7 linked regions of the Cricetulus griseus genome follow. The protein of the gene in region 5 interacts with the protein of the main gene of each other region in a biochemical or structural test. Links are inferred from orthologs where the notes say so. Each region holds a gene or a part of one and is shown on either strand. Other genes may lie near its edges.

Region 1 (3,601 bases), on a different chromosome or scaffold from region 5:
AACCACTGGTCTAGCTGTTTGTATTCAGGGTTGGCACGTCTGAAAACATACCTTTTTTAAATTTTACCAACACCCTTAAAGATTATTCTAAATCATAATCTTAACATTTGACCTTCTATTTCTGAGGTTTTAGGGATATTTAATGAGCACTCATCTTTATTTTGATTTTTTATTGTTGTTTTTATAGGTTTGGGGGGTTGTATTGTTTTGTTTGGGACAGGATCTCTCTATGTAGCTCTGGCTGTCCAGAAACTGATTGTGTAGACCAGGCTGGCCTTGGACTCACAGAGATCTGCCTACTTCTACCTCTCAAGTGCTGGGATTAAAGATGTGTGCCACCAAGCCTGGCTGGCCCAAATTCTGTTCTTGACAAAAATGAAAGGTTAAGTTACTTAGAGAAAATTTTTGACTAATATCTATGCAAAAGACTTAGTTCTAAGAGTTTTCATTTGCCCTGTTTCCAAATGTTTCTCTGTGTTCTCCTTATCTAGTGACAGTTATGTCCCTGAGAACTATATTTTTAAAAGACAGCTTGACTTTACAGGAAGCAGTACAGATAGACAGCGTCGCTTCTTGGACACGTAGGGGACGTTTCCTCAAGGGAGGTTGGGGCATGTTCACCCATCTTGGGAGGTCAGTATGAAAAGAGTTGGTAGATATGTGGTCAGAGGGTTATGCCAACTTCTAGTAAGACAGCCTCAGCTTTTAGGGGTGCTCTCACCCCTCAGAACTGGGGCCCTGATGTCCTAGTATATAAGGAGCTGGCATGGAGAGCAGATAGTTTGGCTGGGCTTAAGGGATCAAGCATGTGTTCAAGAACACTGGAGACACATGGGGAAAGCAGGCTTGGACCAGAACCATCTGGAAAGCCTCAGGTCCAAACAGGAAAGGGAGAGTGGTAGATGAAGGCAGTGGTCTTTTCTGAGAGTGTTCTGTCTCAGGAGCTCAGGACAGAAAGTTATCTCTGAAGGGAAAGGACCTGAAGCTCCAAAACTTGTTCTGTGGCACAAGAGCCTGTAGAATCAAGGTGCCAAGGGGTGGGGTGTGTGTGGACAATTGAGCAGAGGAGTGACCAAGGACAGATATGCTATGAAAGTGATGTGCTGGAAAGAACTCCACAGGCTTGTTGCTGAGACTCTTGGCTTCTCTGTCACATGAAGCCTTCCCAGGAGATGAGAGGAAGAAGCCAGGATGGCTGCCTGGAATTTTGGGGACCACCTCCTGGAAGAGGATAGATGGGAAGGGACTATGGCTCCTTCTTTACTCGCTCCTTGACAGCACGTAGTATCTGAGGTATGTTTGATATGTTTCCTATCCCGGTAAGGTGAAGGATGTTGCACACCTTCAATGGAGGTCCAGGATAATCACGAAGGCGCTCTTTGGTGGGTCCTGGCCACGTCCAAGGAACTCAGACCAGGTTCTCATACCTAGTGATGCCTGAGAGTTTCTCACACAGTTCTTTGAAGCAAGGTCTCTGCTTGGGGTCCTGGCTCCAACAGCTGAGCATCAGCTTGTACATGTTGGGTGGGCATTCCAGGGGGCATGACATGCGGTAGCCGGCATCCACCCTCAGGAAGGCCTCATGATTGGACATGCCTGTGGCCCATGGGAGAAGAGAAATGAGAGCTAAGAGTCTGATGCCCACCCTCCAATCCCTGGACACCACACCCAGCTGCCTTTGACCCCTCCCTGGATGCTGTCTCCAACAAGAATGACGACCACATGCTCTGGACATTTTCCAGGACACTGTGGCTGTTGCCTTCCCTGAGGACAGTGTCTCCTGGAGTGATCTCAGCAGCGTGCTCCTGGATGCTCAAAGAATGGAACAGGGGTGGGGGCTGGTTGAGGCTATGGAAAGCGCCTCCTGTCATCTCAGCCATCCAAGACCTGCCCCCACACCACCTCACTGCCTATCAACAGTTGGGGACATTCTTGGAACAATACCTGGGTAGGGCATCTGCCCCCTGCTGAAAATTTCATGGAGGAGAACCCCAAAAGACCAGACGTCAGATTTGATGGAGTAATGTCCTCGGGAGAGTGCCTCGGGTGCTGTCCATTTGTAAGGGATGTTGTGGTCATGGGAAAGGTAGATGTCTTCCTGTAATAAGATGACATGGTGGGGCCCTGACACTAGAGGGAGCTGCCACTTGTACCCTTCCTGTGTAGCATGGACAGACATGGATGCCAAGGTCCAAGTGGGCAGGTGTAAACACACTGCCTTATTGTCTGACCTATTGACTCCACCCCACTGCAGCCAAAGGTGCTAGAATCATGGATAGGCCCTGTGTATCAAAAGTGCCAGTTCACTGGGATTCTGGCAGGGGGAGAGTACCACAAGGGGAGAGCTGCAATGTGTGGGGACAGAAGACCAGTGTACATGGTTATGTCCAGGATACCCAGAGCTGGCCCAATGTGGCATAAACAAGGTTGTGGCTATATGAATGAAGCCATTGCCTTGCCTATTAACAACGCCCTATCGAGAACTCATCTTGCCCATGGCTGGGTTCTGCTAGAGGCTTGGAAAATAAAACCCCATATCCTGCTTCAGGCTTCTTCCAGAGTCCTACCTTGACAAGCCTGGCCAGCCCGAAGTCCCCCACTTTGCAGAGATTGTTCTCTGCAACAAGGACATTCCTAGCAGCTAGGTCACGGTGGATGTAATTCTGAGATTCCAGGTAGCACATGCCCTCAGCGACCTGTGATGCAAAGTCCACCAGCTCCGAAATAGGCAGGGCTTCCTCATCAGAGTCTGCAGGGTGATCAGAGGCCAGAGTCAGTTGGCCAGAGCTCAGTCCTCATTTTCTGGGCCTATGAAGGCTCCAGCAAAGGGCAGCTGGTCTGGCTTATTTGGAAAGTGGACAATCCTAGACCTTCCGCAGTACCTAGAGACAAAGAGCACACACATGCTCTTTGTCCCATACACCTTCTGGGAATTATAAAGCAATCTAAGGCCAAAGATGTTGCTGCAAGATATACTTGGCATAGTGTAACCACTGAACTCTCTAGATGCTGTCCATCCAGAAACTGCTACTGTTGTAATTTAAGAAAAGCAGTGTAGGAGAGAAAGATGCCATGAGACAGGGTTCAAACAGAGGGATTTTTATTAGCAAAAGGGGTCATAAAAAGGGAAAAGGGGAGGAGGGAGACCAGCCTCTGGGGATGGGAGCAGCAGTAGAAAGAAATGGGGGGGGAGAAGGGGGGAACAGACAGAGAGAGAGGAAGAGAATAAGAGAGAGGAATGGCAGGTGGACAGGGCCCTTTTAAAAGGGAACATAGTGAATATGCACAGTTGTTGTTCTTAGTGGCTGCAGCCGAGGGCATATCCTGTTAGAACCCCGAGGACAGGCCAGTACAGATGCCTGAATACTAACAGCTACACCTACAAGGGGCATGCATTTGATCTCTGAAGACCACTTCCTGCCGAAAATTACACAACTTTACTCTTCTAAATGCTTTTGATATGTTAATACATATACCCCCAGGCATGACTGTCCTACACTGCCACCCTACCTTTCCCTGTTGTATGAAGTTGGTAGCATCTTTGCACAGTACCTCAGCTGGTGGGGATGGCTGGTTTTGTGTTGAAGAAAACAGACAGTGG
Region 2 (4,114 bases), about 93 Mb from region 5:
CGCACAGTGAAACCCGTTTCTTTATACTTGCGTGCTCTTAGACATTATTGAAATAAGAAGTAATGACCAATGGTATAGGAAATGAAGTGTTCACACCTTAATTTCATCTCCTTGGTCATTTTTCTGAGGGCATCCATGCCCTTTCTTTTATTCCTTCATTCTAATCCCCCCAGAGAGAAGATTCCAGAAACAAGTTCCTACCTGCCAGGATCCTCTCAGCATTCATCCTGTAGCTCTCTGAAGCTTCAGCCATGAATCTGGCTGTTGCCAAGTGGTTCAGCATAATTTCACAGCTCTCGTCGTTTTTTTCCCACATGTCAGTTCCTTCAAAAGTGACAGCCTGACGTTCCATCAAGGTCACTAGAGGCATCAGCAGTGGGACTGATACACTGCTTGGTGGGACATACTTGGACTCTGAGGAACAAGGAGGAAAGTTCCATATCAGGTTTTGTTGACAGTTAATCACAGGCCGACTGGTAGTCTGTTTCATGTAGCAACTGCAGATCTGGACATGCAATGCCATTGTGTGACTATAAAACTGGAGGGGCCATCATCAGCCTTGCCGATGACAGGGTCTCATCACTTGCCTCGGCGTTTAAAGCGCTGGCAATAGAACAGAGACTGCTTAAGGAGCAGTCTGCGCTCCTGTGCTCACCTCTGCCTTCGTGCAGGGCTTTGCTGAAGGGCTTCAGCTGCTTTTCATAGAGGACGGCTGTTTGGGTGTAGTGGTGCCGTAGAGCAGTCCATGTTTTTTCTAACCTTGTGATCTGGAAGAAGCAAAGCCTGTTGTTTCAGAGAGCCTCTTTTAAAAAAATCACCTTTCTGTTACATGTTGGAGTAGGTGATAGATGTGTATAGCAATGTCAGAAGCATTCTCGAGTTGAGAGAAAAAAACGTAACCCCTCTACCCTGTGTCCGCGTGGTTCTGACGACCCATGCCACAGCTCTTAAGTGCTTGCATGTGTGTCTATACACACTTTGAAAAAAACAAAGGCCTAAAATAACTATAGTTATTTTGTGTGTGAGAGTGGGTGACTCCAAGAAACTTGTAGGAAGGGCACTTAATTTGTTCAGCATCTTGCTTTTAAGGTGGTCACTCTTTTTAATGAAGGAAATTATGTGCCAAGCATGCTCTGATTCCCAGGACACATGACTGCAGCCATGTCACTCGGTGGCAGGGATGGATGTTTATGAGCACCTGGCAGGATTTCAGAGATCATCTGTGTCTAGGAAACGGCCCAGATAAAGACCCAGCTGTGTTGACGCTGCTGGTCTGATCCGGTTTGCAGGCCTCGACTCTACTCCTCAAAGTTCTCCAAGCACTCACACAAGGGAAGACAGCAGATCTCGCTTCCCTGTAGGAGGCCCACTGTATTTGATTCTCTACTGAAAAATAAAATCCAACATCTGTCAATGCAGACAAAGTCAGAGGCTGGACCTGAGACATTCTGCAGGGACGCAGGCGACAAGTGAGAGAGCTGGACATCTGTCTTAAGTAACTGGAGGAAGATACTTTGGGACAGTCTAGGACAGTGATTCCCAACCTTCCTAATACTTCAACCCTTAATACAGTTCATGCTGTGGTGACCCCAACCATAAAATTATTTTCATTGCTACTTCCTAACTGAATTTTGCTACTGTGATATAAATATCTGATGTACGGGATATCTGATATATGACCCTTGGGAAAGGGGTCACTACCCACAGGTTGAGAACTGCTGGTATAGGGATTCTCTGATGTAAGTTCCTTCAATGCCTTGGTTTCCCCAAGTCATTACCCAAACTGCCCACATTCCTGATGACCCAAATGGATGCAGCCACTGGCGTGCCACACACTGGAGCATGGTCTCTTGTCCTAACTGGTTCTTCAGGAATACTGCTTGTTAGTGGGGCTAATTCTTGTTATTATACATCAAACCTGAGATGTGGACTATCAGCAGTTACCAGTGTTTTTATAAACAGAGCCAAAATAGTAGGGACAACACTCTTGGCTGCCTCCAACGAAGGCAGCTTTCACTAAAATTCAGTTTATCTTTAGAGACTGGCGGAAGCAGTCAGCCATACATGGTGCAGATGAACAGAACTCTGCATAGCATTGAATGCTTACTTGTGTGGAAGGCTGCACAAAGCCAGTATCTCACCTGAGGCATCTCTAGGGCTTTCATGATGGCTGAGAAAGAGTAGAGGTCTCCCATGGCATCTTTTAGTTCCACTGCTACCTGGATGATCTTATTGAGGGTACCTGCTCGGTTCTCCAAAGTACCTGTGCAGCCAAGAATGTCCACAGCGATGCCAATGGCCATGGTGTTGTGTCTAAGTGAGAGAAGACCAAGGGTCAGGCTTAGGTCAACAAGATGAGGAGACAATGGCCCTGATATCCGAAAGCAGGGTTATACGTGTGCCACTGGCTGGGAGCCTATTTGGAAAGCTGATCTCAGTAAAGCTCATCCCACACCAGGCAGAGGATGCATTATGGATTCAGGAAGTAAGATGCCCTTGGACATGACCAGGTTCAGCCCTGCACATGGGAATGTAAAGAGGACCGCGGATGCATGTGGCTACATGCTCCCTCTCCTACCATGAGTAGTCTAAGGAGATACCAAGTCCCCCAACAAAAAGGGGATGCTACCCCTGACAAAGACTGGGCACCACTTAGGAATGGAAAAGACAAAGAGAGAGAGAGAGAGAGAGAGAGAGAGAGAGAGAGAGAGAGAGAGAGAGAGAGGATATAATTGATCCAGGAAGATGTCATGGGTCTTAGAACAAGAGCAGGAGAGAGGAGACAAGAACGGTGTTCTGCAGCCCCAGTACAGATACCACAGAATTTGGAGAGGTGGACAAAGACTGAAGGACAGGCAGGAATTCACTGTAAGGTCAGACCCTAATAAAACAAAGCATCCACTCCCCCTACTCCATTCTCCCCTTTCTCACCCTAAACTACATGGGTCAAACTCACAGACTTAGGGCAGGAAACAGGGTGACTTCCCCATGACAATGGGGACCCTATGAACAGGGTTACTCAGAGGCAGGAAGCTCAGACAGTGACCTCTTTCTTTCCCTCTGTAAATCTAAACCCAGGAATTTACTGCACTGGGTCAAAATACTCTTAATTTTTTAGGCTACTATGCAATTGCTGGAGGTAAATCTGTAGCTATGATTCCTAAGATACCATGTGCCTTTGAAACTCCAAGATCACAATGTTCTGAAAGCTCAGAGCCTGGGCTGTTGCTTCTTGCTGAGTTCCTTTTGTGTCAAGGTCATTGGTTTCTCACCTTTCTTGAGCAGAGTGACAGTGATTCAGCTCATGCTCAGCCTTCCCAATTCCCCTAAAGCCTGTTAACTAATGAGCTCACTGTCTCCAAGTATTTTTACATGTATATGTCTGGGGGAGGGTAGGGAAAGGGAGGGAGGGAGAGAAAGACAGACAGACACTAGCTCACGTTAGTGGCCAGCAGGTAGAGGTACTCACATGTTACCAGGAGTGGTGTGTGTGTGTGTGTGTGTGTGTGTGTGTGTGTGTGTGTGTGTGTGTGTGTGTGTGTGTGTGTGTGTGTGTGTGTGTGTGTATGTATATGTATGCATGCATGCATGCGAGGCTTACATGTCAATGGCCAGCAAACTAGAGGTGCTCATGTGTTATGAGAGGGTGCTCCAGGAGTGAGGTGGTAAATCAGAAGTCATGGGTAGTTTTGTATTTGATTCAAGAACAAGAAAATAAAGTCATGGGGCAGTCTGGGATTCCTTCGACCTTGGCCCATATTTAGTTAACACACCATAACTAATCAAACTATCCCCCTGGCTCTGTGGGTAGCTCCCACAGTCACAGATGGATAGGAAACAAATTGGGGTGCAAGGTTCTAGGCAGCAGCACAAAGAAAGGGGTGTTGACCAGAGTTGAGGTCAGAAAACAGGCAGGAGAGTGGCTCCACAGCTGCTGGTCATGGCGTAGGCTTGGAGCTCAGGCCTCAGCACACCTCTCAGTGCCAGAAAAAAAAGTCTCTGGAGATTTCAGACTCCAGGGTATCCTCTAGGAAAGAGGAAGTGAGAGTGGCTGCTTCACCCAGACACCACCACAGGGGAAGTGAGATGTGCTGCTCCATAAGAGAGGAGACTG
Region 3 (3,902 bases), on a different chromosome or scaffold from region 5:
CAAAGACATTCATTCCTGAGGCAGCTGTTGCTACTAACAGTTTAGTTAACAATCTTCTGTCTTTCAAGATTCCTTGTGGGCAATTAATCATGGCTATTTCCATACACTGGGGATGTTCCTAAGTGAAATACTTCTCTGGAATATGAACAACCCCACCACTCTTGAAATACTGGCTTTTCTAGTGTTTGTGGATTGGGAATAAAATGATGGGTTGTTGTTTGTTGTTATTCCTTGTCTTTCAGGCATCAGGAGCCCCTCTCCCCAAGCTGTGATTTTTCTGGGCTGAGCCTGCTAACTACAGAGCAGAGCTCTGGAAAATCACAGTCTGATGAGAGCAGGAGGGCTGTGTTGAATAGATGCCCAGAAAGGGAGAGAAGGGGACAGAAACCCACCCTTCTGGCTTGATATTTTAATCTTGGCATTTCAACAAAAGCAGCAACTCCAAAGAGATGATTTCCCAAATGGTAGTTCCCAGCACAGTCTGCCTACGGTTTCTATTCTGATTTAGTCTCTTTATCAGGAGTCTTAAAGTGTCAGAGAGAGATGAAACACATTACTTTTTAGCCTTGAAAGTGAAGGCAAGTGAAAGCCAAGAGAAATGAATAAAACAGCTTCCTTCATTTTCTGTGGGGAAAGTTCAACAAACCAGAGTCTGTGTGAGTCCACCACCTAGTTCTTCAAGATGATAAATTATTGAATCCAGAGGCTTTAGAAACATCCAGTTTCTTCAAGAACCGATCTCAGCCTGATAAGACTAGGAAACTGAGCTCCTGAATGAAAAGCCCATTATGAAAAACAAAAAGGACTCGTGACTCTGGGGTGGGAGTTTCATTAGAAATGTTGCCCTGCCTCTCAGGGAGGGCCATTACCAAGGAACAAGCAATTCTGGCTGCCATGATGCAGTCTCAGTAATAAGGGACACCTACCTCATGCCAGCAACTGTACATAACGCCATATATGGACATGGGGGCCAGGTGAGGGCGATACAGGCGGAACCCATTAGAAATGGCTTCCACCACTTGCAGGTTGGACTTATTTTCAAAAGGCATTTTTCCTTCTGTAAAAACTTCCCACATTAGAACTCCTGCAAAGAAAACATGCAAAAACTGGAGTCACTTGGAACCAAAACAACGGTTGGATTCAAATTGCAAGATGTTAATCTGCTCCAGCCTGAGAGTCATAATTGCCCAGAAAAATGCAGTTCTATGTGGTTGCACACCCCTGAGTATTTAATAGGTCTGTACCTTGAAAATAATCCCTAAGAAAAACAATGCCTCCTTGCCTTTTGTTTTGGTCGCGGCATCTCCTATGGTGCACATTGTGGCAGCATTTTCATTGCTAAGTGCTGCTCCTGTTCCCTCCTCCTCCTGTCCCCACCCCCTCAAATCAATAGATCTGGCTGCTCTTCCATAGACAATGACATATTTGTGGGCCTCTTCTGCCTGCTGCTGCCAGCAGTCCCCCCCCCAACCCCACAGCCAGCAGATGGTGCACATCTGCCTCTGTCCATGAAGAGTCTAAACTGACAGGAAGGCCCTACAGAATGCCGCAAAGGCTGGGATGATACAGCTCAGTTGGTAAAGTTTTTGCTTATAAACAAGAAGACCTGAGGTTGATACCCAGAACCCATGTGAAAATGCCTGGCGCCCCTGAGAGATGCTGTAGTGGTTAAAAGTACTAATGCTTCTCTTGCATGGAACCCATTTGGTTCCCAGCACCCACTGCAGCAGTCCACAACGGCCAGTTACTCCAGCTCCAGGAGATCCAGGCCTCTGGTCTCTGTGCACACATACACTCATGTGCACATACCCATACATATAACTAAAAATAATAAAAATAAATCTGTTTTCAAATGTCTGGCCTGGTGATGTACTCTTGTCATCCAAGTCTGGGGGTGGGGGTGGGGGTGGGAGAGAAGGGTAGAAACAAGCAGATTCCAGGGGCTCACTGACCACCAGTCTAGTCTAATTAGTGAGCTCCAAGCCAATGTGAGGCCGTCTCAAAGGAGGTGGATGGCATTCTGCTTTTAAAAAATAATTTATTTAACTTTGTTTTATGTGCATTGGTGTGAAGTTGTAGGATCCCCAGAACTGGAGTTACAGACAGTTGTGAGCTGCCATGTGGGTGCTGGGAATTGAAGCGGGGTCCTCTGGAAGAGTAGCCAGTGCTCTTAATGGCTGAGCCATCTCCCCAGCTCCGGTAGATGCCATTCTTGAAAATGATACCCAGGATTGTCCCCTGGCCTCCACAGTGTGTGTGTGTGTGTGTGTGTGTGTGTGTGTGTAAAACAAAAAAAAAGAAGCTCACTAGCTCACTAGTTCATTATCCAGGGAGAAGGAAATGTGAGCCTGAGTGAGTTCCAATTGCTCTGCAGCCACTGGAGGAGATTCCTTGTTTTACTATCCACCAGGTCCCTAAAATACACTCACACAGTCCCTCCCCAACAAAGTTCAAACCCTTGCTTGCTGGGAGATCAAGCCAGTAGAGAGTTAACATGGTCAATGATGCAAGCTTAATCTTATCATGCAGAATATTCTCACAGACTTGTAAGGACAAGGACATCTCTCAGGCCCATGCACTTGTGAAGACAAGGGCATCTCTCAGACTCACACACTTGTGAGGACAAGGACATCCCTCTAAACCTCACAGCCACCCAGGAAGACCTAGATGAAAGCTAAGATTTGTGCTCATAAGTTGCCATGATTGGAAAATCGACTCACAGGAACAAGCCGCATTGGGCACAGATCTCCAGTGTCTCTATCTCGGTGGAGAATGTTAGTCAATATGAACATCAATAGACAGAACCCAAGCAGCCAAGGTGCAAATCCCATAAACCTTGACAGTATAAAGTGAAGGTAGTAAGCTGTTGTTTTTCTTAGATCTAGATGTTAAGCTCAAATTGTCAAGTTGGGAAACAATCAAGCCACTGAATAAACAATGGAGCTTATTAAGCACACTGGAAACTCGGTGATGACGTAGATCGTTTCCTTCAAACCTCTGTGATAATGGGAGCATTGGCTGCATTTAGGCCAGCAGATTCCTTGCTATAGCTTCGTGGCACCCGCTCTCTAGGGTAGGAGAGATCCTGAGAATAGAGCAGTGTGAGGGGGTGCATGAATCCAGTTGCCAAAGAAGTTACAAAGAGGCTTTTAGGTTTATTTATTTATCATCTATACAGTGTTCTGCCTGCATGTGTGCCTGCACTCTAGAAGAGGGCATCAGATCTCATTATAGATGGTTGTGAGCCACTGAGTGGTTGCTAGGAATTGAACTCAGAACCTCAGGAAGGGCGGCCAGTGTTCTTAACCTCTGAGCCATCTCTCCAACCTACAAGAAGGCTTTTAAAGACTGCTACATCATGTGAAACAAGCACACAAGCAAGAGTTGAAAAGGCAACCTCTGTATTAAATCCAGCAATAACAAACATACTCACCAAATGACCAGACATCAGATTTGCTACTGTACTTGTTAAAATGAAATACTTCAGGTGGGGACCACTTGACTGGGAACTTAGCTCCCGAGGAACTGATGTATTCATCATCCAAAACGTACCTGCCATCGTGGGATTCAAGCACACTGTATTAATGTCCACCGAGGTCTAATTACTTCAAATACTTCTGTCTGCTCTGACCTGCTGAAACCCAGTGTTTTCCCCTAGAAAAGGCTGTGCACCATGTCATCCTGACGGCGGGCAATGAAGTCTCCCTTTATTTGTTTTCCTCCTCTAGAACCATGTCTCCTTGATTTCATTTTCATTGAATCTCTGAAAACTACAGCTCTATAGTCCCAAAACTTGGGAAGCACTTATGTTCATTAAGGTCCAGTCTTAATTCTGCAAAGAAACAGGCCTGTGCTCTAGCAACGAGGGTAGAGAAAAGGAAACAAATGGTAAGGGACAGGCC
Region 4 (4,894 bases), on a different chromosome or scaffold from region 5:
GTGCTCTTACCTAGTAAGCCATCCTGCTGGCTCTGACTTTTATTTATTTAAAATTTTGAGCTGGGTGCACTAGTGAACACCTTCAATCCCAGAACTCAGGAGGTAGAGGCAGGAGGATTTTTCAAAGTCAGCCTGGTTTATATAGACAGTTGCAGACCAGATAGGGTTGCACAGTAAGACTCTGTCTCAAAACAAAAGAATGGAGTTTCCTAAGTGCACTTCAGGGATTTCAAAGCAAATAAACAAAGAATAACAAAACTATATAATAAGGGGCCGGGTCAGTTCTCAGGTGACACTGTCTAGCTCAAATTCTGGTTTAGTTATATACTAAATTTGTGACCTTACAAGTTACTGGATTTCTAGTTCTTTCGTCCAAAAACTGGAAATATTTTAATAAATGCACATTGCAATATTTCACTCACTATATTGTTACCGACAGTAACTTCTGTAAGGCACAGAAAGTCCTCAGCAAAGCATCTGGCATACAATAAGCAGTCAATAAGTGTCAGCTATTAATATTATATATGCCTCTCTAAAACTCAAGTAATCCCTATGTAGCTTTAAAACAAAAAGAGCTTAATGGGGGGGGGGCAAAGATTAAGTATCCATCATAAAGTAAAAAACAGCAAGTGAACTGACTGCCCTAAAGAGAAAATAGGGTACATGACAGAACAAATTGCCACAATGCCAATGAACTTTCCTACCCCACCCACAAACTGGCAATCTCCTCTCTTAGACCAACCATCTATTTTGAAAAGGTGGAGCTGCTGAGATATAAAACCACAATGCCCAGGTATGGAGAAATATCAAACTAACAAACCTGCCTGCTACTATTCCCAAGTTTTATAACAAAACACATAGAGAGAAAGCTGAGGACTGAAATTTTCTACCCTACTATTGGAAATAAAACCTGGGCTTCCCTAATGCTAGGCAAATAAACTACCACTGAATTATATTCCCAGTCCCACCCCCATCCTAACTTTTTATTTTGAGGCAGAGTCTTACTAAGTTCTCCAGGATAGCCTGGAACTTGTAAAATCATCTTGCTTCGGTCTCCCAGGTGCTGGGATTACAGGCATTAACTATGACATGTGGTTGGAAATTGAATTTCAATGACAACATACCATCCTAGTACTGCACTTAACATAAAATAGATACCTTGCAGATGGCACAAATACCTTTAGGGCAAATGTGCTACATTAATATTCTTATTTTATTTTACATATTAAACCAATGAGACCTAGAAAGATCTAAATGTGTAAACTAAAAGGACCTCAATACTAAATTCTTCCCTTAACTTGTGTGTGCTAACAAAAAGAACTATCTTTATCGCACCTCATTTCAGGCCAAAGTGAATAAATCTAAGTTAGGACTATCCTAAAAAGGGCAGGTCTGCTATGGTTAGCCAAGGAGTCTTCATTCATGAGACTGGCTCAGATCTAGGAGAAAAAGGCTTTCACTTCAAACATCCAGAAAGCAAGAAACTTGATGCATTACATACATACACAGACAAAGGCAATCACAGAATCACTCTGTATCTCAAAAACCTCAAGTGCTAAGTGGATGTATTTCCTTAACATTGCCAGACAACTCCAACAGTATGGGCAAGGCGGTTACAATTCATTGATCCTTGACAAGACCCCGTGGGATAACTAAAATGCTTGGTGTTATCTTTACAGACAGGTCTGTTCTTGTATCTTGGAAGACTTTGACTACAACACCAACTTACTGAGCAATAAAAGACCCAGAAGTACATGACTGACACTGTTTAAACCCAAGGAGAATGAAGCTCCATTCACTTCCAGGGTTGTTCTCACTGGCTTATACCTGGTTTATTTTCTGAAGGAAAAAAAAAAAAAAAACCTTTCCCCCACTAATCACTTTGAAACTAGAAACTCTAGTTGCAGCAGGCAGTCTTTTGGACACTTCAAACCTCTTGGACAGTTTGCCAGCTAGGCTTCAATTACTCTGGGCTGGTCACAGAAGGCTTTTTTCTATTACCAAGTCACTTAGTTCACCACCTTCGTATTCCACAAGGGAAGAACACGGTAAAAAGATTTTGGAAAAATGCCCAAGAAAGGAAAAAACCGACCGGCTTCCTGAGGGTGTCTCCATCCCTCCCAGCCAGCCAGTACGTGGTGACTTCCTACCGAAGGCCACCAGGGGAGTATGGCCAAAACCGGCTCTAACACTGCAGGAAACGTTTCAAGCCTAAAAGCCACTTGTAGGATTAGCAGATCCATTCTGGGCACCTCTGCCAAATTGTGTCCCCGCAACATCCCCACTAACTCTTTGTCCCCAAGTTGCCTGGCCCTGCCCTGCCCTTGGGCCTGACCCTGGCGCCCAGCCCCACCCCGGGGCCGCAGCAGTTCCCCTTCCCCGGCTCCCAAGGCACACCCAGAGGCCTCGGTGAGCAGCTCCTCCTCCCCCACAATCCCGCTCGTCGGTGGGAACCAGCCTGGGCTGAAGGCAGCTCCCCCGCCAGGGTCACTCCTGCCCTCTCTGCCCACGTCCCTCCTCCTGAAGCGGACCAGAGTTCCACGGCCCTCACCCCCGCCCGGGGCCTCCCGCCCGCCTGTCCCTCACCCGGCGGAGGCTGAGCGGGCGACGGAGGCACTGGAGGGCGCGGGCCGCTGCTGTTGATGATGTAGTGGGAGACACGCGAGTTTTCCGAAACGCTGAGCACATAGTCCCCGGGGCTGGTGCTCGAGTCCCGCACCAGGAACACCCCGTGCCGCTGGCCCTGCAATAGCGCCACCGCCTCCTGCCGGCTCAAGCGGCCCCAGTACCAGCTACTCCGCTCCTCCGAGTCGAAGTTGCCCGCCATGGCCGCCTCCGCGCCTTCACGCTGGGCCGCCGCCGCCACGCGCGCCCCTCCAGCCCTGGCGCCCGCCGCCCAGCGGACCGGCTCCGGTGTCAGCCTCCCAGCAGCGCCCGAAATGGCGGCGGCGGCCGCGGGCCTTCCCCACCGGAAATGACGCGCTCTCTACCCGAGGGAGGCTGCCGGGAAGGGGGACCGCCGCCCGCCATTGGGAGAAGGGAAACGGAGTCCTTGGGGCCCGCAGTGCGCACGCGGCTTCTTCATGGGCGTCGCCTCCAGGTCCAAACCCTGGCGACCGAGGATGGGGAGGCGGAGTCTAGGACTAAGGGGCGGAGCTTCAGTCTGCAAGCTGACTGATGTGTGTCTGACAGATTGGTGGCCTAGGTCTTTCGCCCAGGACCTACAGGAGTGGAGTAGTAAACGGTCCCAAGATGTTAGCCTCCCTCAAAGCTCCCTGACAAGCTGGTATTTTTCTGCTGTTTTCTTCAGTTTCCCCCGAGGTAAGCAGAAGTTCTTGTTACTCAGTAACAATCATAGACGTTACATTTCCCTGCAGGTGCAGTGGTGATCCAGACTGGGCCGTAAGTCACCAAATTCACAGACCAGTGGGAGGAACCAGGAAACAATTAATGACAAAGGAACAACAAATGCTATGATGGAAAACAGGAATATAAAGAGATCAACTAGGCAGTCTGTAGAGGGATCCAAGGGACTGGTAATGTGACTCATGACTGTAACACCAACACTTAGGAAACTGAGACAGGAGGATTACTGTGAGTCTGAGGCCCTACCTTACAAAACCTAAACAACAAACAAGGGTCCACAGATGAGGTGGCTTGAATGATTGGGTGTTGAATGGCAAGTGGGGAAGGATACTCAATGCAAAGAAAACAAAATGCTCAGACAGGAGAAAGGATTGAGGCTCCTATGTCAACCAGACAGTTTCCTCTATATTCTCAGTTGTAGTGATGGATGTCTCCTACTCTCACTTGCTTCATGATCATGATCATCTCTCTCAATTTTTTTTTACTTTGAAATGAAAAAAATTGTTTTTGTTTTTTTGAAACAGGGTTTCTCTGTGTATCCCTCTCTGTCCTCTAACTCACTCTGTAGACCAGGCTGGCCTCAAACACAGAGACCCACCTGCCTCTACCACCCGAGTGCTGGGATTAAAGGCGTGTGCCATCACCAATGCCCTGCTTGACATGAAATCTTATGATGTAGCCCAGGCCGACTCAAGATCCTTCCACGCCAGCCTCCCCAGTACAGGGATTATAAGAATGCACCAACATGCCTGGCTGGCCACTATTGCTAAGATTCCAGTGCACAGCCCGCCTGCTGCTGTTCCTTAGTTTGGCTTGCTGGATGACACTGTAATAGCCATCAGTACAAGTTTTCTAAATACAAATCTGTTGTTACCCTGCATAAAACTTTGAAAATCTTTAAAACTTCCAGTTTAGGGGCTGGAGAGATGGCTTACCAGTTAGGAGCACTGACTGTCCTTCTAGAGAACTCGAGTTCAATTACCAGCACGCACATAGCAACTAACAACTGTCTCTAACTCCAAGTTCTGACCCCCTCACACAGACATACATGCAGGCAAAACACCAGTGTACATAAAAATTTAATTAATTTTACAGAGAAGGAAAGTGAAGCTCAGAATTTAACTGTTTTGCTTTTTTTTTTTTGTGGCATGGGTACATATACCACAACACACGTGTGGAGGTCAAAGACAACTTTGTGGAGTTCGTTCTCACCTTCCACTGTGAGAGTCCTGGAGTTTCAGGTCACCAGGCTTGGTGGGCAAGTGACTTTACCCATTGACCCACCTCAACAGCCTGAATTCTTGCTGTTTGTTCAGGTGTGTTGTTTTTTGTTGTTGTTGTTGTATTTGGGTGTGTGGTGTGTCGGGGGGGGGTTTGTGGGTGTTGTTTTTGTATGACAGGGTCTTTCTGTACTCCTGGCTGTGCTGGAGCTCACTATGTAAATCAGGCTGGTATCTGCTTTGAGGATATAGTGGAACAGAGCTCTCTCCTTCTAGATCTGAACTCTAGCTGCTCACTTAGCAGCTAC
Region 5 (4,781 bases):
CAGAGGGTGGGATGGGGGCAGTGCCTGGGGCCACACAGTTCAGCCCACAATGAGTCGATTCTATCCAGGAGGAGGGGGCTGCCCCACCCTATCCCAGACACCCCATCCTCAGCAGCACCCCCCTCTTACCCCGGAGCTTTGGGCTCAGACAAGTGACCTCACTTCAGGGACAAGCCCTGGTAGTAGGGTGGGGGTCAATGGGAGCTTTGTCTCCAAAGCTGGATAAGGAGCTGGCGACCTCCCCTTTCCTGAATTCTGGCTTCTCTTCTACTCCCTTCCCCTAAGCCAACATGCTCCAGCTCCCCCAGCACCTCTCCAGCCCCGGAGAGAAACAGAACAGACCCTTCACACCCTCTGAAGCCTTCTTCCCAATTTCACTGTCAGCAGGATTCATTAAAGACTTCTAACAGTGGCAATGCTCCTCAGCAGGAGAGATGGCTCCAGGGGAGAGCCAGAAGAGTGGCCAGTACACTCCAGTCTCAGGCTTTCACTTTCCTTTGTAAAAAGGGAAGTCTTGGTCCTTGGTGCTCTATGGATCTTTCCTCTGACACAGAGGAAGAGCATATGGGGAGGGTAGAGGTAGGGGTGCGAACCACCTGCTTTCACCACCCTTCCCTGAGGCAGGGCAAGAGCATAACAGTGGGAGAGAGAGCAGAGGCCCCAGCTCCTCCTGCTACATACACCTCTGGTCTGGCCCCTTCTTTAAGATCCTTATCCCTAGGCCAGCACTTGGGAGGAGGCAGGCTGATCTCTGTGAGTTCGTGGTCAGCCTGGTCTACAGAGCGAGTGCCAGGATAGACTCCAAAGCTAAACAAAGAAACCCTGTCTCGGAAAACCGATAAATAAATAAATAAATAAATAAATAAATAAAGCCCTCTTCCCTATCAGTCTCCATAACAGAAAGAGTGAGCTATTCCCAGCAAGGAGGCATGAACAGCCTGGAGGCTCCCAGAGGCACCTGGGAACCCCAGGGTCCTCGGGCTGAAGTGAAAGACTAGGAAGGTTAGTCATTTCTGAAACTGCCCCACCCCTGTCCCCTTCCTGGCAGGACACCCCTCTGCCAACCCTTCTCCCAGATAAGGGAGGAGCTAGGATCTCTGTATAGGGAAGTGGTGTGTACGTGTGTTGAGCACTGCCACACCGTGCACAACTGGTGCACCAACATGTACACAGTTCCCCGGCTCAGAAACATATATCGCTCTGGCCCTGCCTGGAGTCTGTATTGAGACGTATCACAAGTGGCCAGCGCATCCCATCTGCCCACAGTACCTTGTACACCTTGCGTCTTATGCTTTGCAAGGGCCTTACAGGTCTCGGTTACCTGCCACCCTGAGGGCAAAGTCCATATTTCACAAACAGGGGCAAAGGGCCTGGGCAGGACGGGAGTATAAACAACTACCCAGGAGGAGCCAGGCAACTTGGGGACCGGCGGCAAGGAAGCAGCAAGAACTGCCTGTTGGTGGGACCTAAGCTCAAAGAGGAGCGATGTCAGAGCCCTTCTTATATGTAGAGCACAGACTGGGGTTGGACAGAGCAAGAACATGCAGCCCCTCAGAAGTCTCCCCTCCACTGCCCCAGCCACACACACAAGGGGACAAAGGGGCTATACAAGGCTTGAGACAGGGCCGGATGCCCAGAGGCTGCAGGATAGAGATAAAGGGTAGAGAGAGACTCAACCATGCCTGCTCCCTGCTTCTCGGGGAGGGTGGTGGGAATCCCGGACTCCTGGGTTCCTGGTTGGGGGGGACAGAGGGGGAGAGAGCACACAATCAGATGGAAGAGTGATCCGGTCACTCCCCTGGCACCTCCCCCTCCAGTCTCCAGACCACCCCCTCCACCAGCTGGGAGTGTTCACGCCTCAAGATCCCAGGGGCTAAATTTAGGCCCAGCAACTGTGGGGGAAGCACAGGTGGTTTCTCCCACTCCCACTCTGGGGAAGGGGCCCTGGCTGTACCCCAAGATGAGATGGGGTGGGCGTGAAGCGAGATCAACGGGACTCGAAGTACACCAGCCCCAGAACTCTCCAGGTGCCCCTAGTCCCAGAGACAGCCAGAGGAATGGGCTCAGACGGCGTGGAATGGGGGTATAGAGAAGTAAAATCTAGCCTCTGTCTGAAGTTAGACAACTGAATGGGGGAAGGGAAGAAGTTGGGTCTAGGAGCGAGTTCACGGAATAGGATGTTCAGAAGGTAGGAGAGAGAGAACTAGGGCTAACTGTCCTTTCCCCCACACCTGCAGCTCAGGAAATAGTACAGTACATAGTAGATGCTCCACATGTTAATTGAATTGACCCGGCCTCGGTAAAGAGAAACTGGCTAAGTTGGGGACCAGCTTATCTTGTGGGAAGGCAGCCAGCCAGCCTCCGTGAGGCCTCTCACTCTGAAGTCACCTGGACTTGGCCCTCAGGTTAATCTCAGCCTTCTCAAGGCAGCCCCACTCACGGAAGAGGAGGTGCCATTCTTGTTTTTCCAACATCAGAAAACAACAACTTCAACCCTTGCATAGCTCCGCCCTGCCGGCAAAACAACGAAACTGGGGGTTGCTGAAACCTGGGGCGGGTGGGGTGGGGACCAGGGAGCCAGAGAGCAAACCGAGACCCTTCAAGTCAAGGCTCCTCGGGTTTGCAGAAGGGTCCCTGCCCGCCCTCTCTGCAAGGCCCTCAGATGCTGTCCACATCAACCTGATCAGAAAAACACCAATCAGAGGGTCAGCGACGCCCCGGGGGAGAAGGGGAGAAGGCATCCAGGAATGCAGTCCCTGCCCAGCCCACTCCGAGAATCAAGCCACACGCTCCCCTCCAAGGTGGTCCCGGTAGACTCGGGGTCGCACCCCGCAGTTGAGCGCGCCAGAACCCGAACCCCTTGCCCAGGGTCTGCGCGCGCTCAGGTCGCGCTCGCTCTCCGCTTCCAGCCGGCTGAGGCTCCCCGCGCCGCTTACCTGCCTGAGAGTTGCCCATCTCGGAACCCCGGGTCAGGCTGAGAAGGAAGCCCAGCACCTGCAGAGTCCCAATCGCCCTCATGATTGCAGCGGAGGGTGAAGGGAGCCCAGCCGAGTCTGGCCCGGGGGCCCCTGGGTTAGGACATCGAAGCGACAGCCACCTGAGCAGCCCGGCGCATAGGTGGTGGCGGCAATCGGAGATTGCAAACTGCAGCAGGAGCCGGAGTCGGAGTCCCGAGCGGGACGGCAGAGGAGGGTGTCTGTCTGGGAAGGAGGGACGGAGGGAGGGGAAGGGGGAAGGGGGTGTGAGTCACGGCCGCGCCCCCTCCTGTGCGAGGCTGGAGTCGCCGGTGGCTGCAGCCTGGGACACCCGCCCGGAGCGCGCCCCGCCAGCCCGCAGCTTGGCCAAGAGGGTCAAGGAGGGGTCTCACTCTAGCAATTTCCCCCGGAGATGGCTAAGAAGACATCAAGAACCCAAATGTCCCCGGGCCGGGGAAAGGTAGTGGATGCGGGTGGGGAGAGCGCCAAAGCCCAGCCCCCTGAAAGCTGGCCTCGCCCATTAACCAAATCACCCAACTCCCCTAGCCGGTTGGATCACTTGAGGGGTTTGTTTTTTTCTTTTCTTTTGGAGTGTGAATATTTCTACTTTTCTGAGTGGGAGGTTGTTTTTTAGCCTAGAGTCCATGCCACCTCCCTTTCCCCGGTACGCAAAGCCCCATAACTCAAGTATCCGGCCCGGGAACCCGAGCCCCGGAGGCCGCGTGAAATTGCACTGTCTCCGGCCGCTTCCTCCCGCAGACCCGGCGCCGGCCCGGCCTCTCGGGGGGATTTGTTTGGGGGGCGGGGGTGGTTTCCAGCCTGGGAACATACCCCGGAGCCCGCCTTCCCACTTCTGCCCTGGGAGGGGCTCCCGCACCTGTCGCGGTCCCCTCTGCTGCCCCCCACGGCCGCCGCAGAGAACAGCTGTCTCTGACCGAGTCCACGCCGGGACGACCGACCGACCGCGCCGTCCGTCCGTCCCGCCGTCCGTCTGTCCGTGGTTCCCGCCTCTCTTCCACCGTCGCCACCGCGGCGCTCACACCCGGAGGGGACAGTGAAGAGGAGCGCAGAGAGGTGGCTACAGAAGGCGCCTAGGAACCGCACAGCTCCCGGGACCTCCCGCCTCGCATACCCTGGGTTGCTAGGTCCCGGGCGGGTCCGACGGGCGCCTCCTGGTGCCCAGCCCGTTGCATTTCCCATCCCTTAGGTTGGCATTCCACATCTTGCCTGGAGAACTTACTGTCCCTTGCCCCTGGGCGAAAGCTACTAGCTAAAAACCTTTCTTTTGTTTTTTTCGTTTTGTTTTTTTGAGACAGGGTCTCATATAGCTCAGGCTGGCCTCGAAAAACCAAAAAAGAAAGAAAGAAATGCTGGGTCATACTTTGAGCCCCTCCCCTTCTGTCACCATGTACCACATAGATACGTAGATTTGGAGAAAATTTACAAAATTCACACAAACACGTGACCCAAACCCACAAAAAAAAAAAAAAAAAAAAAGAATACATGAGCTAGGGATGTCACCTCATCTTTTCAGAACTGGAAACTTGTGAATTTTCTCCAGATCTATCTATGTGATTCATTGTGACAGAAGAGGAGGAGCTCAAAGTTTGACCCAGGATTTCCCTCTTTCCTTTCTTTCTCTCTCCCCGTCTTTCTTTCTTTCTTCCTTTCTTTCTTTCCTTTTTTCTTTCTTTCTTTCTGTTTTCTTTCGGTTTTTCAAGACAGGGTTTCCCAGTGTAGCCTCGGTTGTCCTGGAACTCGCTCTGTAGAACACACTAGCCCCAAACTCGCAGAGATCCACCTGCC
Region 6 (4,114 bases), on a different chromosome or scaffold from region 5:
GCCTGCACTTCCCTTCACTTCCAGGGCCAGGCTTCTCCACACACCAGCCAGACAGCCTCCCCTCCACCCAAGGGAAGCGGCTGCCTCGGCCAGGCTGCTTCCAGGAAGCCCCAGGCCAGGCCCCAGCATTGTTCAGGCCCTGCAGCCAAGACCCAGCCAGCCAGACACCATGAAGTCCAGCGGCCCTATGGAAAGGTTGCTCAGAGCCCTGGGGAGGGACAGCAGCCGGGCCACCAGCAGGGTAGGAGTGCCCACCAGCTGGGCAAAGGTGGGGCAGGGTGGAGGTGTGGACAAGGGGGGAGGGCCAGGATTCAGGCCAGACCCTCTTGCTAATTTCAGCCTCTTCTCCTGCTCCTTACCTTGCCTCAGTATTCCCCTCATTCCCCTGCCCCCCTGAGGTGGCCAGGGTGGCAGTATGATCCTGCCATCTGTTTGGACTTCTCTGCCTTTCCTTGCTTGAGCCTGAATAAGCCCTGGGAGTTCAGCAAAGAGCTTAAGCCCTGACCTCCCAGGGAAGCTTGAGAGAAAAGGGATGGGAAAAAAGCTATGAAAGGTAGGGAGGAGGCCAGGTCTCCAGGCACTGTGACTGGGAGGATGCCTTCCACTGACGTCATCTGCACATGATGTTATCAACAAGTATGTCCAAGTATCCTAGTGGGTCCCACCTCCAGTCCAGAAGAGGTCTGGAACACTCAAGGGACCAAAGCTGTTCCTCCCCCTTGCCTTTCGAAGGTGTTAACACTGTGGTGGGCAGATCCAGGGAGAGGGGACAGCAGGAGCTGGTATACAGATGAAGAGTGTGGAGGGACTGTCCACAGACTTGGGGTGGGAGGCACGGCCTGCAATGGGAGGGACTGAAGTAGGACCTGGGCAACTGGAAGCACCCCAGCTGCTAGCTTCACTGTCGCTGGATAGGGAGGGGACACACAGAGGCAGCAAGGCAGCTGCTTGTCTGTCCCCGCTGTCATTCCTCCTTCCAACATTGCCACCCCCTTCTTATACAACTGCTGCTTGCAGCCTCAATGCACAAAGAGTAAACACGTTGTTCTGACCCTGAGGGAGGGGGGCATGTCAGCTGCCTGGAGCTTGGAGACATTGAGAGCCAGGGGCTCAGGACTGGCTACAGCCAGTCTGGGTGTTATGTGACAATGTGCATGTGTGTCTGGGCCATCAGCTCATGTATACAAACCTCATCTGGGGAGGGCAAGATGGAAAGAGTCAGACCCCCACTCTGCCAAGATTTGGAAACCCCTCACATTTGAAGTGGCAGTGACAAGGACATCACATAGCAGGGCCACGTGAGGGGACCTAAGTGATCCCTTAGGGAGGAGTTGACCCAGCCAAGGTGATGCAAGGGGTCACATTCCAAGTCCTGTAGAGGACAGGCCCCATGACTACCCCGAGACAGCTGTGGCCAAGTGTGCCTGGGAGTTCAGAGGCTTTGAACTAGAAGGGAGGGAAGCAGCAGCGTCTATCCAAGGCAAGGTTTCCAATTCAGCCTCAGAGATGGGTCCACTAGGAACTCATACCTCTATCTATCTGTCATCCCACCCGCAGCCTAGGAAAGCAGAACCACACAGCTTCCGGGAGAAGGTTTTCCGGAAGAAAGCTCCGGTGTGTGCAGTGTGTAAAGTGACCATCGATGGGACCGGTGTCTCCTGCCGAGGTGAGGTGCTCTTCCTGCGTATCCAGAGCCCTCCACTCAACACCACTGTGCTGGGTGGCTCTAGGAACAGGCAGGCTTACAGAGCAGGGACAAATGCCCTCACTTGCATGACACCCACCTTGCCACAGCCCAGTAGATCTGTGACTCTGCCACCTTCCCATCCTCACCTGTGACTAGAGGCTGCCCTTCCTCCTTGCCTCCATTCATCCTAGACCTCTGGCCTGAATCCCAGACTCTGGAGCAGAACCTGCTGGTACCCTGCCCTGCTCACTGCTCCAGCAATCTAGTGTTAAGTCCCAGGGTTGACTTTCAGGGCCTGGGGAAGTGGAGGGTGCCCACTTTCACTGCCCTCTAAGCCTCTGCTGTTCTCCCCTCCTTCTCTAGTCTGCAAGGTGGCCACACACAGAAAATGCGAAGCAAAGGTGGGTACCTGGTCCTAGCTGATGGGGGATGGAGTCTTTTCACTGCCCAGACACGCTTTTTCAGCCATACTGGCATGTTTCTTCCACCCAGTCCCCTGCCATTCCTGGAGACCCCTCCTGGGTGGCAGGGGTGTTGTGCCGGGCCCTTTAAGAACTACTCTACTCCACCCCTGGAGGGTTGGCCCAGGAGGGTGGACAGTGAGTCGGCAGCGTTTGTCTTGGTGCTGTGCCCAGGCTGCAGCTGGCGAGAGGATGGGGGGGTGGAGAAGCAGGAGGAGGAAGGGTGGGGTGGACAGAGAGGGAGCAGGGTTTCAGAGACCAGGCACTGGAATAGGCTGTACCTTCCCTCTGGGGAAGGGTCCTCAGGATGCCCAAGTTGGTCTTAACCTGGGTGCTGGAAGGGCTGGACCTCTACAGGTACATGGTGTAGGTGGCACCCACTGTCTACTGAGAACCTGAAACAGCCCCATCCCTGAGGAATGCTCCTGGTTCCTCCTTCAGTGCAGGGGGTAGTCCCAGGGCCTCAAGCTAGCTTGGGGGAGCTATGTGCCCATGGGTGGGGTCTCAACGGTGAAAGAGGCTAGTGTCCACCCCTGGCCATTGCCTGCCTGCCCGCCCCTATATATAACTCCTGTCCTGCAGCTGGATGAATGGGGGTCTGTTTGGGCAGGGGGCTGAGAGCCAAAAGCAACAAGCAGGGGGCCTGAGAGGTGGGGGACCAGGAGGCCAGAAGCAAGGCTTCCCTTAAATAGAGGAATAGAGGAACCTCAGCTGGAGCCTGTACTCATCAGTTGACAGCCCCTCCACGTTATCTTTCACCAGCTCAGTCACTCATCTCCTTCCAGGTGACTTCATCCTGTCAGGCCTTGCCCCCCGCGGAGCTGGTGAGTGCTCTAGGATGGGGCAGGGAAGATAGTAACCTGACTAGTGTCCAGAGGTCTGGTGGTCTCAGAGTGGGGGCGCCAGGAGGTTACCTAAAACTGAGCGTTGTAGTTACTGACTGTTCTAGCTCTCCGCTGTTACTGTCCTCTAGAGCCTGGGGTGCGGGAGGGGCGGGGGGGGGGGAGACTGGAGTTCCCTCTTTTCCCCCAGGGAGTAGATAGACACGGACATGCCCTCCCACCCCCACCCTCCAGGTCCAGACTGGTCATTGCCCCTGCCCTAACCACTCCCATTTCCTCCCCCACCTCCTCCCTCTAGCGGAGAAACACTGCCCCAGTACGGCGCATAGAACACCTGGTAAGGGATGCTTAGGGGTCTGGGGGTGGGGGGTGGGTAGCTTTTGGGAGACCACGGTTTGTGGAACTTTGAACTGGGAAGTCTAGAAGAGATGCGTCCAAAGACGATGTCGATGTACGGTTTCTCATCCACCAGGGATCCACCAAGTCCCTGAACCACTCAAAGCAACGCAGCACTCTACCCAGGTGAGAGCGCCCGGTGATCCCACGTGGGCACTTTGCACAGGACCCCCACACAGCTCATGGCATTGGTCCCCAATAGAACACCCCAGGACAATGCTCCCCCTCAGGACCACGCACCCTCGGGACCTAGCAGGCCTCCCAGCGCTCCCCAGGACCTTTCTCATAATACTAGCCCCGTGGGGCGCCTCGCCTCTGTTCCCTAAATCAGCTTTGCGACCTCTCCAGGAGCTTCAGCCTGGATCCGCTCATGGAGCGTCGCTGGGACTTGGACCTCACCTATGTGACCGAGAGGATCTTGGCTGCAGCTTTCCCCGCACGGCCGGACGAGCAGCGACACCGGGGCCACCTGCGCGAACTGGCCCATGTGCTGCAATCCAAGCACCGGGACAAGTACCTGGTGAGGAGCGGGTTGGCCAAATTCAACCAATGAGAGGGCTGGGAGGTCCAAATGAGCAAGGCTACTGTTTGTCATCAGAAATGGAACTGGCAGGAGGCGGGTATTAGTGTACAAAGGCGAGGCGGGGCGGGGCGGGCCGGGCGGGCGAGGCGGGGCGGGGCGGGCCGGGCGGGCGAGGCGGGGCGGGGCGGGCCGGGCGGGCCAGGCC
Region 7 (4,114 bases), on a different chromosome or scaffold from region 5:
TCAGTACCATTTCTAATCAAAACTGTGTTTCTTAAAAAATCTGTCACTGCAAATAAATAAGCAATTTGATTTATTGTGAAGAAGAGTTGTATGTACCTGATATATGTAAATTTATGTATGGGTTGGTCACAAATAATCCTCTTCCCTCAAACAATACCCTTCAGCTGAGCAATACAAATATTTTTATGGAAAAAATCTTTGATATTTTTGCGATTTAAAAAATTAGTTCTTTGAGAATTTTGTATAATATGTTTTGATCTTATTTACCCTTGTCCTCCAAGATCTGTTCCTCTCTCCCAATCCAGGAAATTTTGTGTACTCTTTGTTTTGATAAATCTGTCTTCTCAATTTGTGCTGTCCAAATATTCTTGGATGTGTGGCCTTCCTCAGAAGCATGATTGATTTACCAGGGGCTATTCTTTTAAAGAAAGTTGGCTTTTCTTCTCCTGGTAGCTATCAATTGCCAGCAGCTCCTTGCCAGAAGTGGGAATTTGTACACACCTCCTCTCTTCATGCTTGGATTTGATCTGGCTTAGGTTGCACAGGTCTTGTGCGTGTTGACATAACCACTGTGAGTTCATATGTGAAGCTGTCCTGCTGTGTCTGGAATACATTGTTTCCTTGTAATTTTCCACTGCTTTATACTCTTTTCACTTCTCTTCCTCAATGATCCTTGAGCCTTGGGAGGAAGGGATGTGATATGGATTCTTAGACACATTTTATAATTCATTTTCTTCCATTTCGCATGTAACATCATAGCACATCATTACATATTTGTAAACATTTTCAGAGGAGGGTCTATTGAGCATAAATATTCCTTATCCTATTATCTGATTTGACCCTCCTTATATAATAATATTGTAATTATTTGCACCATGAGAGCAGAAGATTGTCTTGGGTTATCCCCAAATGGGAAATAGGTAAAAACATCTTTGTTTCATGAAATGCATATTGCATTTTTTCTGTCTACAAAATTTGCCTTCTTGTTAAGGTGAATATTAAAGTAGTGCACAATTCTCAGAGCTCAAATCACCTGGCTGGAAGAAAGTTCTCCAGAGTGTACTGAAGATCAGCTGTGATTCAAAACGTGTTTCCATGGATAATTAAGTGATGGCAGTATGGGAAATGCTCAAATTTGAACAAGAACTGAATTCACTGACAGGATAGTAGCCATGATGCTTTTTTGTGTGTGTGATAAATGTCTTTCCAAAATGTGGTAAGTGGCTTATGTACTACTTTCAGGAAAAGCATTTTAGTTTGACATACCATAAGAAAAGGTCATGTCAGGAACATTCTAGCCTCTGTCCTTAGGTAAGTTTAAGACATGTTTTAGAGATGTGATATTAAATTGAACTTTGAATCTATTGGATTATGAAAGAAAATATTCAGAAAATTTCATTTTAAGTAGAACATTACTGAGGACATTAACTTAGTTCCTGGAGGCTAAAGTTATGATGAATTGTTGATTATCATTTATTAAGTATAGATTGTCAGCAATTCATTGTCAAAAGTGTACTGTTCTCTCCCTCTCTGCCAATTTCTGTGCTTTTGGGCTTTTCTGGGTAGTTGGTCACCAGGAGATTCTTAGCTAGTAAGTGAATTACTTATTAGCCTAAGCAAAGCATCATAAATTAGGTCAGTCATTTGCTAAAGAAATGCTGCATCTCAAGTTCAAATTACTTCTCTATGTCCAGTGGTAATTGTCTTCTCTGTCAGCATTGATAATCAAGTGTTAACTATCAGTCTCCATAGAAATGATGCCTTTGTTGAAAATACATGTATAAGCCACAAGAAACAGCCTAAATGAAGTGTGGTTTCAAATGATTCCCCTCTGGGGAAATATGCAGTCTCTCTTCTGGCAGGTGACCTCAGCTTCACTCGAAACTACTTGGTCTAGTCTTAATCTGAAAGGAATGCAGAGACAATTCTGCTGCTTCTGATTTATGTGTGACCTCAACCTGCTTATTAATTTACTTCAATGCAAGATGATTAGGTTACATGTTTATATCTGTGAAATGAGAATAATTGGAAGAATCAATATCTTCCAATTCACGAGGAAATAGTGAACGCAAGAGATGGGAAAGTGTTTTGAAAAATCAAAAAATGCCCTAAGGAAGAAGTAAGGAGGTATTTTGTAGCCATTTGCACGCCTTTGTAATTTGCAGCCTCTGTCTTGAAGCCAAAGAGTTATTTGGGTCTCTGCGAGAATGGCCATGTTATTTTTAGATGAAGCCTCAGCAGAAAATTAGGTCTTCTGATCATAAGAATAGGGATGGGTAGGAGACCATTTTCTGTCCGTTGACACTGGATAGATGAACACTAAATTACAGCTAAAGAGAACATCTACCATGTGTTTATATTGGAAAACTCCCTACTCACTCCAAAGTAGGCAATGACCAAGAGTAACTTTGGATAGTCAGTTATCTCGAGTTTAAAGTCCAGTTGACAGAAGTCTGTGTGCCAGCCTCATATTTTCTCCTTAAATGCTAAAAACCAAGCAGTTCCCATCTCAAAAATCTTCCAGATGGAATAGCTGAAAAACAACTTTCTAAAAAAAAAAAAACTAGAAAGAAGCAAAACTAGTCATTGTTCAATTGCTCGTAGCAATACTATTTTATTTTCTGTAAAATGACAGTTTTGAGCGGGTGCCTAAAGCACAGCTCATAAGCTTTGTGGGGAATGTTGATTTCAGGCAGTGTCCTTGTGAGAGCACAGATGTCAAGGAAAGAATACATTCTTAACAGCCACCTGCAAATTTGATCTCTTTAAAAATGAACAAATACATAAATAAAGATAAACTTGTATAGTCTTTCATTTACATGTCATAGAGGAAACCTTGTCATGGTGCAGGGCTGACTATGCAAACAATTTGGGCAAAGAACACAAAATTAACATGAAGGATGATTCAGTATGTATTATGACGTAAAATAGTATATGCATCGGCCAGCCATGCAGTTGTGTGTATCGTAACAGTCACTTTTTAAATTTCCTGTGTAATATTTGATATTATAAAATGAGGATGGGGGACATGTTGTTGGTTGTTGTTTTGATTTCTCAGGCTTTTTTGTTAATGACCTGTAGGATCTATACATTTTTTTTATGTTTAACTTCATCCCCTCTGTTGCTGAATTCATTGTGGGTAATGGCCTGTACATCCTTAGAGGTTCAGGATGTATGACGGGTAGCAGTCAGGAAGGGCAGGGCTGTGAGAAAGAGCTTGTACAAACTAGTACTACCCTTGGGAGAACTGCAATGACAGCTCATTAGCTCCTCTTGCAAGGAAATTCAGCCAAGCAAAGTAAGCTCTTCTGGATGTTGTTTTCATTTCTTCCTTATGTTTTCAAATATTTGAGCAAGTTACACAAATGTTACCTCTCTGAGCATCCCTCTCACATGTTATAGGTCTTTTTCTTTCTTTTTTTTTTTAGCATCATGAGGCAAATGAATACTTTTTTCATCTTTTATTTTCCAGACAGCACCTGGGGTACACAAAAGATTTTTCCGGAAAATAAAGAATCTGATTTCAGCATTTCAGAAGCCAGATCAAGGCATTGTAATACCTCTGCAGTATCCAGTGGAGAAGTCCTCAGCTAGGAGTACGCAAGGTACCACAGGTGTGGACACCTGCTTAGTTTTCAAACACTTGGGAAGCTTAGATTTAGGGGGTCAACCTATTCATGACCACATAAGCAGCAGGAAGATCATAAGAAAATTTCAACAAGGAGGTAGCTGCAGCCAGAAAATCAGATGAGAGGTAACTATGCAAAAAGGCTCTACTATGCTGTAATATACACTTTTAATAAAACTGTAGAAAAGTCTATGAGGCCAGGATATTTTCATCTCTTTATTTCTATCTCATTCCTCCTAGTCCCTTTAGTAGTACCTAGTACCATTTTGCTTCAGTAACCTATGCACATATGATTTGAAAGATGGGATAGTTCAGGGAATATGTGGGTCGTCTGTTCCCTTTTGCTTACTAAACAACCTCCTTTGCCCTTCTGGCACAGAAAGGCTAATGGTAGCCTAGTTCCTGTGATTCTGATTTCTGAGCTGATGGTATTTGAATGAATGAAATTTTACAGTAACAAAGGAAATCAAATTAGTACTCTTGGGT

Evidence for each region.
Region 1: the proteins of Erbb3 (region 5) and Ptk6 form a complex in vitro, tested with the Homo sapiens proteins (2 studies listed by BioGRID and IntAct, with this or other methods). The link is inferred for Cricetulus griseus from reciprocal best matches to the Homo sapiens genes ERBB3 and PTK6.
Region 2: the proteins of Erbb3 (region 5) and breast cancer anti-estrogen resistance protein 3 homolog form a complex in vitro, tested with the Homo sapiens proteins (2 studies listed by BioGRID and IntAct, with this or other methods). The link is inferred for Cricetulus griseus from reciprocal best matches to the Homo sapiens genes ERBB3 and BCAR3.
Region 3: the proteins of Erbb3 (region 5) and tyrosine-protein kinase TXK form a complex in vitro, tested with the Homo sapiens proteins (2 studies listed by BioGRID and IntAct, with this or other methods). The link is inferred for Cricetulus griseus from reciprocal best matches to the Homo sapiens genes ERBB3 and TXK.
Region 4: the proteins of Erbb3 (region 5) and Crk form a complex in vitro, tested with the Homo sapiens proteins (2 studies listed by BioGRID and IntAct, with this or other methods). The link is inferred for Cricetulus griseus from reciprocal best matches to the Homo sapiens genes ERBB3 and CRK.
Region 6: the proteins of Erbb3 (region 5) and Tns2 form a complex in vitro, tested with the Homo sapiens proteins (2 studies listed by BioGRID and IntAct, with this or other methods). The link is inferred for Cricetulus griseus from reciprocal best matches to the Homo sapiens genes ERBB3 and TNS2.
Region 7: the proteins of Erbb3 (region 5) and Sh2d1a form a complex in vitro, tested with the Homo sapiens proteins (2 studies listed by BioGRID and IntAct, with this or other methods). The link is inferred for Cricetulus griseus from reciprocal best matches to the Homo sapiens genes ERBB3 and SH2D1A.

The regions. Positions count from the first base shown.
Region 1 is NC_048599.1:706,954-710,554, reverse strand, and holds the end of Ptk6 (protein-tyrosine kinase 6), read right to left. Parts: intron 2,750-3,601; coding exon 2,568-2,749; intron 2,099-2,567; coding exon 1,945-2,098; intron 1,597-1,944; coding exon 1,409-1,596; 3' UTR 780-1,408; downstream 1-779. UniProt on the Homo sapiens protein: Non-receptor tyrosine-protein kinase implicated in the regulation of a variety of signaling pathways that control the differentiation and maintenance of normal epithelia, as well as tumor growth.
Region 2 is NW_023276806.1:35,983,039-35,987,152, forward strand, and holds part of breast cancer anti-estrogen resistance protein 3 homolog, read right to left. Parts: intron 2,314-4,114; coding exon 2,142-2,313; intron 768-2,141; coding exon 656-767; intron 415-655; coding exon 202-414; intron 1-201. UniProt on the Homo sapiens protein: Acts as an adapter protein downstream of several growth factor receptors to promote cell proliferation, migration, and redistribution of actin fibers.
Region 3 is NW_023276807.1:139,222,373-139,226,274, forward strand, and holds part of tyrosine-protein kinase TXK, read right to left. Parts: intron 3,553-3,902; coding exon 3,434-3,552; intron 1,085-3,433; coding exon 927-1,084; intron 1-926. UniProt on the Homo sapiens protein: Non-receptor tyrosine kinase that plays a redundant role with ITK in regulation of the adaptive immune response. Regulates the development, function and differentiation of conventional T-cells and nonconventional NKT-cells.
Region 4 is NC_048600.1:89,143,587-89,148,480, reverse strand, and holds the start of Crk (adapter molecule crk), read right to left. Parts: upstream 2,974-4,894; 5' UTR 2,828-2,973; coding exon 2,587-2,827; intron 1-2,586. UniProt on the Homo sapiens protein: Involved in cell branching and adhesion mediated by BCAR1-CRK-RAPGEF1 signaling and activation of RAP1.
Region 5 is NW_023276806.1:129,315,528-129,320,308, reverse strand, and holds the start of Erbb3 (receptor tyrosine-protein kinase erbB-3), read right to left. Parts: upstream 3,137-4,781; 5' UTR 3,019-3,136; coding exon 2,829-3,018; intron 1,330-2,828; coding exon 1,270-1,329; intron 1-1,269. UniProt on the Homo sapiens protein: Tyrosine-protein kinase that plays an essential role as cell surface receptor for neuregulins.
Region 6 is NC_048595.1:398,504,099-398,508,212, forward strand, and holds part of Tns2 (tensin-2), read left to right. Parts: exon of another isoform or gene 1-169; coding exon of another isoform or gene 170-241; intron 242-1,551; exon of another isoform or gene 1,552-1,557; coding exon 1,558-1,666; intron 1,667-2,050; coding exon 2,051-2,088; intron 2,089-2,910; coding exon of another isoform or gene 2,911-2,933; coding exon 2,934-2,972; intron 2,973-3,288; coding exon 3,289-3,327; intron 3,328-3,462; coding exon 3,463-3,512; intron 3,513-3,734; coding exon 3,735-3,906; intron 3,907-4,114. UniProt on the Homo sapiens protein: Tyrosine-protein phosphatase which regulates cell motility, proliferation and muscle-response to insulin. Phosphatase activity is mediated by binding to phosphatidylinositol-3,4,5-triphosphate (PtdIns(3,4,5)P3) via the SH2 domain.
Region 7 is NC_048604.1:25,493,954-25,498,067, reverse strand, and holds part of Sh2d1a (SH2 domain-containing protein 1A), read left to right. Parts: intron 1-3,472; coding exon 3,473-3,614; intron 3,615-4,114.